2 linked regions of the Callithrix jacchus genome follow. The protein of the gene in region 2 purifies or fractionates together with the protein of the main gene of each other region. This does not show direct contact. Links are inferred from orthologs where the notes say so. Each region holds a gene or a part of one and is shown on either strand. Other genes may lie near its edges. The genes, in order: PTGES3 and EGLN1.

What was found.
Region 1: the proteins of EGLN1 (region 2) and PTGES3 purify together in Homo sapiens (affinity purification with mass spectrometry; 5 studies listed by BioGRID and IntAct, with this or other methods). This does not show direct contact. The link is inferred for Callithrix jacchus from reciprocal best matches to the Homo sapiens genes EGLN1 and PTGES3.

What each region holds. Positions count from the first base shown.
Region 1 is NC_133510.1:62,979,822-62,983,630, reverse strand, and holds part of PTGES3 (prostaglandin E synthase 3), read right to left. Parts: intron 2,001-3,809; coding exon 1,887-2,000; intron 1,758-1,886; coding exon 1,688-1,757; intron 1-1,687. UniProt on the Homo sapiens protein: Cytosolic prostaglandin synthase that catalyzes the oxidoreduction of prostaglandin endoperoxide H2 (PGH2) to prostaglandin E2 (PGE2).
Region 2 is NC_133520.1:53,463,368-53,467,608, reverse strand, and holds the start of EGLN1 (egl nine homolog 1), read right to left. Parts: upstream 3,012-4,241; 5' UTR 2,601-3,011; coding exon 1,710-2,600; intron 1-1,709. UniProt on the Homo sapiens protein: Cellular oxygen sensor that catalyzes, under normoxic conditions, the post-translational formation of 4-hydroxyproline in hypoxia-inducible factor (HIF) alpha proteins.

The sequences.
Region 1 (3,809 bases), on a different chromosome or scaffold from region 2:
CCTATTTCCTACTGAAATAATCTGTACAAAAACAACTACAAAGTTTCCAGTTTAACCTGGTACCATTTTTTTCTTCCCTGCACACAGTAAATAGAATAAAACCTTAAAAACTTAAAGTAAAAATGATATAACCATGGATTGGTTTAAAGATTCTATTCTTCTTTTTTTTTTTTTTTTTTTTTTTTTTTGAGATGGAGTCTCGCTCTGTTGCCCAGACTGGAGTGCAGTGGCACAATCTCAGTTCACTACAACCTCTGCCCCTCCTGGATTCAAGTGATTCTCCTGCTTCAGTCTCCTGAGTAGCTAGGATTACAGGGCACGCCACCACGCCCAACTGATTTTTGTATTTTTTAGTAGAAACAGGGTTTCACAATGTTGGTCAGGCTGGTCTTGAACCCCTGACCTTGTGATCTGCCCGCCTCAGCCTCCCAAAGTGCTGGGATTACAAGCGTGAGCTACTGTGCCTGGCCTAACAATTCTACTCCTAAATAAGACAAGCCTCAGCTGGACATGGTGGCTTAAACCTGTAATCCCAGCACTTTGGGAGACCAAGGCAGGTGGGTGACCTGAGATCAGGAATTCAAGACCAGCCTCATCAACATGGAGAAAACCTGTCTCTATTATAAATACAACATAAAGCCAGGCATGGTAGTGCATGCCTGTAATCCCAGGTACTCAGGAGGCTAAAGCTGGAGAATCGCTTGAACCTGGGAGGCAGAGGTTGTGGTGAGCATAGATTGCGCCATTGCACTCCAGCCTGGGCAACAAGAGCAAAATTGTCTCAAAAACAAGACAACACACACACACACACAGACAAGACAAGCTTCAAGGATACTACTCTAAGCCCAAACAGTGACAGCAAAAACAAAAAGTATGCAGAAACCTATTTTGGAGGAACTACTACTACAAAACATAAATATACATAGGTTGCCTCAACTGTTAAGAAAAACAGAACAGCCCGGGCACCTATTTTGGAGGAAATACTACAAAATATAAATATATGTAGTTTGCCTCAACTGTTATGAAATACAGAACTGGTCAGGCACAGTGGCTCATGCCTGTAATCCCAGCACTTTGAGAGGCAGAGGTGGGCAAATCACGAAATCAAGAGAGACCATCCTGGTAAACACAGTGAAACGCCGTCTCTACTAAAAATACAAAAATTAGCTGGGTGTGGTGGCAGGCGCTTGTAATCCCAAGCTAAGGCAGGAGAATCGCTTGAACGCAGGAGGCGAAGGTTGCAATGAGCTGAGATTGTGCCACTGCACTCCAGCCTGGCAACAGCGAAACTGTCTCAAAACAAAGAACAGACTGAGTGCGGTGGCTCATGCCTGTAATCCCAGCACACTGGGAGGCTGAGGAGGGCAGATCATGAGGTCAACTAATCAAGACCATCCTGGCCAACATAGTAAAATCCCATCTCTATACAAAAATTAGCTGGGTATGGTGGCACGCACCTGTAGTCCCAGCTACTCAGGAGGCTGAGGTAGAAAAATTGCTTGAACCCAGGAGGTGGAGGTTGCAGTGAGCGGAGATCGCACCACTGCACTCCAGCTTGGCAACAGAGCAAGACTGTCTCAAACACAAAACAAAACAACAGAACCAATGCTTACTGCTAAAAACAGTACTTGAAGTATGTCCATTTCCTCACAACTTAAATCTGGATTAAAGCATCAAGACTACTTACATTTGGATCAATACAGTGAAAAAGATCAATTTCATTTAAATGCTTAAAATTATCACTTCCTCCAAGACAACTGTATAAAATAAAAAAGAAAAGAATTAAGCCTCGTCAGAGAATCTAAGATCAATGAAAACAAGCAAGTCAAAGTTATTCAGTTGTGTGAATAACTATTTTACATCATTAGATAAGAAGTTTAATTTACCTGAATGTAAGTTTGGATTTTTCAAAATTTACATTAACATCCTTACTGTCTTCAACACAAAATTCAATGAAGACATAGTCCCTTCGATCGTACCACTTTGCAGAAGCAGGTTGCCTATAAAAGGATAAAGTAGGGAAAGTCAAGCTGGAATTGATTACATTTACATACTAACCTTAAACATTTATTGTGTAAGTAAACATATTTCTCTATACCATCATAGCATTATTTTGGGGCAGTTCATTACATTAACTACAGTTTTACCCTAACGGCTACATTCCAAGTTAAAACAGGGCACTGTGGCCAGGTGCTGTGGCTCATGCCTGTAACCCCAGCACTTTGGGAGGTCAAGGTAGGCAGATCACGAGGTCAGGAGTTCAAGACCAGCCTGGCTAACATGGTGAAACCCTATCTCTACTAAAAATACAAAAATTAGCTGCGAACCGTGGCACGTGCCTATAATCTCTGCCACTCGGGAGGCCGAGGCAGGAGAATTGCTTGAACCAGACTGGGAGGTGGATGTTGCAGTGAGCTGAGATGGTGTCACTGCACTCCAGCCTGCACTACAGAGCAAGACTCTTGTCTCAAAAGCAAAAATAGGGCTCTAACAATATTTAGTTTCAGAATGATTCCAATTTCATAATAGAAGGGATTTAAAAACCAAACAATTTATCCAGTCCTATAAAAAAAATTACTTGGCCAGGTACAGTGGCTCACGCCTGTAATCCCAGCACTTTGGGAGACCAAGGCAGGAGGACCACTTGAGGCCACCAGAGCTTGAGACCAGCCTGGCCAGCAACCAAAACCCCATCTCTATTAAAAATACGAAAAAGAAAAAGAAAAAAACTTAGCTGGGCATGGTGACACAGGCCTGTAGTCCCAAATAGTTGTGGCCTGTAATGCCTAATATTTAATGGCTGACCCTTTATACAAATTTGCTAATACATTAAAACTACAAATGGGGCAGGGCGTGGTGGCTCACGCCTATAATCCCCAGCTCTTCTGGAGGCTGAGGCGGGTGGATCATTTGAAGTCAGGAGTTCGACACCAGCCTGGCCAACGTGATGAAACACTTTCTCTCTATTAAAAATACAAAAAAATGGCCAGGCACAGTGGCTCACGCCTATAATCCCAGCACTTTGGGAGGCCGAGGCAGATGGATCACGAGCTCAAGAGATGGAGATCATCCTGGTCAACATGGTGAAACCCTGTCTCTACTAAAAAATATATAAAAAATTAGCTGGGCATGGTGGCGCGTCCCTGTAATCCCAGTTACGCAGGAGGCTGAGGGAGCAGAATTGCCTGAACCCAGGAGGCAGAGGTTGCGGTGAGCTGAGATTGCGCCATTGTACTCCAGCCTGGGTAACAAGAGCGAAACTGTCTCAAAAAAAAAAAAAAAAAAAACAAAAAAATTAGCTGTGCGTTGTGGCGGATGCCTGTAATCCCAGCTATTCAGAAGGCTGAAACAGATGAACTGCTTTAACCCTGGAGGCAGAGGTTGCAGTGAGAAAGCCTGAGTCGAGCGGATCATGAGGTCAGGAGTTCAAAACCAGCGTGACCAAAGAGACCAGCCTCGCCAATAGTGAAACCCCATCTCTACTAAAAAGACAAAAATTAGCTGGGCATGGTGGTGCACGCCTGTAGTCTCAGCTACTCGGGAGGCTGAGGCAGGAGAATTGCTTGAACCCAGAAGGCAGAGGCTGCAGTGAGCCGAGATCGTGCCATTGTACTCCAGGTCTGGGTAACAAGAGAGAAACTGTCTCCAAAAAAAAAAAAAAAAAAAAAAATCTATTTGTAATACATGAGGAATGAGGCATCAAAGTTCTACCATGGTAAGTAAAAAAGTAGTTTCTAAGTTCATAAATTAAGCAGTTTTTCCTTCTTAGGTATCAAACACCCTGCCTGCAAATGTCTCACACCAAGCTC
Region 2 (4,241 bases):
CCCAAATACTAGAACTCTTGAGGAAGGCAGTAGCTATTTTCTAATAGCATCCCTACCAGAAGCAACTGCTCTCAGAGCCAGGCTGTCTGCTGTCCCTTATCTAAGAATGACAGGTGAAAGGACTTGGAAAGCTAAATTAACTAAGGAAAGCAGATCAAGAAAGATTTGGGACATCATCTTCAAGAATCCAATTTAAACTTATGTCCCAACTATATACTTTGGTCAGTCTTCACAGCCCTGTTCCCTCAAACTAATTTCTTTCCTGCTCTGAGCTCAGGACTTATGTTCAGATGTGTTCCATGACAACGTTCATTTTTAAAAGTATCAATGAAAAGCTAGTAAAAGACCAAGGCTGAGATTTCATCAGATCCCCCTTTTCCTTCCAGTTTAATATGATTCAACTGTTCGTAAGACTACATGAAATTAAGATGTGTGCCTTCACCCAGCAATGAAGTGGCAATACGTAAATGAGACTCCACATTGTATTTTTCCCCACAAAATTTTCATGTTTATAATTTTTCTCATTGCCTATGTTCAGCCTTCCGAGCAGCCTGAGAATCACATGTAATGACTGTCAAAACAGATGGTCTCACACACACTCCAAAAAAACCACTGGGAAGAGTCAGCATGTGTGTACAAACATGTAAGTGTGATGCTCTCCCAAGTCCATCTCTCAAAACTCACAAAATCAGACAGAGACTGATGGTGGAGGAGGGAGGCCTGGGAGTAGCTGGATATAAAGAAAAGATCAAGATCTGAGAAGCAAAATGAATAAGACCTGCAAGAGAGTATTAAGGAAGAAAGAGTGCACCGTGAGGGAGAAAAAGAGAAAATAGACTAGGTAGGAAGTGAAGAAATCTGTGGAGAAAAAAACGCAACAGTAAAGAGAAAACAAAAAGATCTCACCAAATTGGGAGGATAAAACAAGTCCTCCTGCTCCAATTTCGTGTTGTTTTTTCCAGGAAGCTACAAAACAGTTCTTTTTCAACAGAAGGATAACATTAACAAAGCAAATAAAGGAAACCAATGCTAAAAATGTAGCCTACCTACACAGAGAGATCCGAAAACGGAAATACTTCTTTTCCCTTTTTGTAATGGGTTTCAAAACAGTAGGAACAGGGAGAGGGTAGGAGCTATAAGAGGGGGAGGGGAGTAGCCACGCTCTTCCTGAATATGGAGAGTCTTTCGACTAAACGCTTAAATTTACCTTTTTGTGGTCAGCCGGCAAATTCTTAACTGAACACAGCGTTTGACTCTCAATCAAAATGTGACGAGTGATTCAGACAGCACAGGAAATTTAAGTGCTTATGCAAACACAAGACAGATGCAGCATCAGGACTTGCTTTGGGTGGTACTCTAACACCCCCTCACTGGGTGGCTAAAACGCCACTAAGGAATGAATTGTGACTAACAGTGGAATGGAAGAAAAGAAGAAAGTAGCAAAGTTAAAGCGCCTACGTTTAGCCAGAAAACTATGCAATTAGCCGGAGAAGTCTGTGGACTGGCAGTAAGTGGAAAACAGCGGACACAAAGCGGCTAACCAGATCAAACAGTTACCCCGAATTCTGTCCGTCTTCCTTACGGGGTGCTATACACAAAGTCCTTTCTATACAGAGGAAGGCTGCTCCTCAGCCTAGGCAGTTACCGTCACGAGAGGGGCTGCCCGCCGAGAAGGGCATGTCCAGCGCAAACCCGCAGCCCACACTTACTTTCGTCCGGCCATTGATTTTGTAGCTGCCCAGCTTCCCGTTACAGTGGCGGATCAGGTCGTCCATGCTGCTCATGAGCAGCCCAATGGTTTCGCAGCCGGGCTCCTTGCCCTCGATCCAGGTGATCTTATCGCCTCGGATGTCCTTGGACGAATCACTCTTCTGGCTGACTAGCTGCCCGTCCGTGAACTTCCCGGTGTCGTGCAGGGCGCGCACCTCGTCGCCGATCTGCTGTCCGGTCTCCTTGCCGAGGAAGTCGTCCACCACACAGATGCCGTGCTTGTTCATGCAGGGCACGATGTACTCGAGCGCCAGTTTCAGCGCCGGCAGGGGCTTCGTCTGCCCGTTGGGCCGCAGGCCGCCGCTGTGGCTCAGCGCATCCCCGGGCGTGTTGCTCGGGGGGTACAGGTTCGCCTTCTCCTGGAACAGCGACGAGCGGGCCGGCTGCTCCTCCTTCCCGGGCTCGGCCTCCGCTGCCACCGCCGAGGCCTGGCCGCCGGGGGCCGCGCGAGACGGGGACGCGGCCGCCGCGGGGTCGGCCGCGGGCTTGGCCTTTGCCTTTGCCTTGGCCGCGTCCCCGGAGGCGCTGTCCCGGCGCGCCGCTGCCTTCCTGGCCTCCCGGGCCCCGGACCTGGGCGGCGGCGCTGCAGCCGGCGGCGCGGGGCCGGAGTGCTGGTGCGGGCCCACTCCGTGGCCGAGGGCGCCCTCGCTGCCCTGGCACACGAGCTTGTGCTTCTTCCAGTCCTGACGCTGGTGCTCCTTGCAGCAGTAGAAGGAGCTGCGGCAGCGGCTGCAGCGCAGCAGGTTCTCCATCTTCCCGCATAGCTCGCAGTACTGCCGGTCTCGCTCGCTCGGGCTCGGCCCGCCGGGTCCGCCGCTGTCATTGGCCATGGCGGCGGCGGCGGCAACGGCGGCGGCTGCGCCCGAGCAGGAGGGGTGGCGGCCGGACGGCCTCGCCCGAGGCTGGGGAGCGGGGAGAGAAATCGGGGCCGTTACTGCGCCATGCACCCGCTACCCTCGCCTCAGGGAGGCCGGCACCCCGCGCCCTCGGCCCGGCCGCTTCCGAGTCCTAGGCTCCGGCGCAGAGCCGGTGGCCGCCTTAGCGCCTCATCGCCGCCGTGGGCTGAGAAAACGTGGCCTGTGCGGCGAACGGCAACCTGGGCTCGGGCGCGCGGGCCTGGGGAGCGTAAGACCGGCCCCCTCGGCCGCCGTCGCCGCCTCAGCGTCCCGGGCGGCCCGGCCCAGGCTGTGGAGGAGCGCAGGGCATGCGGGCGCCACTCGCTCTGCGCGCTCTGCACGTACACCACGGCCCCGCGGCGACCCGGGCGGGCGGCGCGCGAGGGCGGAGGGGGCGGAGGGAGGGCCGGGGGGAGGGCCGAGGGGCGGGGGCCGCGCTCACACTTGGGCGCTGGCGCGGCGCCTGGGCCGCCTGCGCTCCTCCGCACTTGGCGGGGCCGGACCTCGGCCTCAGAGCCGGGTCGCCCGCCCTCCGTCCACCCGGGGCGGGGCCGGGACGCAGAGGCCGGTGAGCTGCCTCAGCCCGCAGCGGCCTGCGCGGGGACGCAGAGGGGCCGGCCCGCGAGCGGCGGAAAGGCGTGGGGCCGCGCGGGCAGCGCCTACACCTGCTAGGGGAGGGCGCCGGCCGCGAGCGGGTGGCGGAGCGGCGGCGGCGGCGGCGTAATCATGGCTGCTCTTCCTGCAGGCGGGCGCGAGTTGTGCGAGGCGCGCTCGGGTTAGGGTTACAAGGTGGCTACTGTGATCCTCATTTTGTAGAGGAGGAAACGGAAATTCAGAGAAGTAAAGTAACTTGCCCAAGGTCACGCAGAACTGACTGGGACTGAATCCAGCAATCAGGCGCTCAGATTCCAAGGCTGTTTTTTCCATTGCTCCATCCAGCCTCTATTTCAAGAAGCCGTGAAATGGTTAAGAACAAAAATAAGTATTACTGTGATGTTAATCCAATCTCTTGTGCCCCGTTTCAACCTAATTTAAAGGTTATGAAATTTGAGGGTTAAAATCAAAAACATTTTTAAAACCTTTGAAATCCCGCCGAGTTCGAACCCCCATGATTGGGCTACCAAGTCAAATGAGTGCTTATTCCAATATCCAATTTAAACTGATGGAATTATCCCTGAAAAGTTAATTTTGGTAGTAAGTGAGCAGTACTACTACATTAACGACTCTCACATTTATTTTTAATAGAATCTGTGCTACGCTGATGGATACAATTCTTTGTTTTATAGAGCATAAAAACCTTTCCATAAATAAGCCAAGGATGTTTCTGCTGTTATTTGTCTTAAGAATAAAAAGGCCTGTGACTTAGAGTTTAACAGTCTTTATCGAACACTTACTGTGGAAAATTCGGTGCTAGGCTTGTGTATCACTTGAATATACTGTAACTTCAGTCCTTGAGATATAGCCTTCCAAGCTTAAAGAAGCTGCAATATGTATTTCAAAAGCAGGATGTATGGAATTACTATAAACCACATTGTAGAATTTAAAAAAAATAAAGCTTGAATCCAAAAATATAAA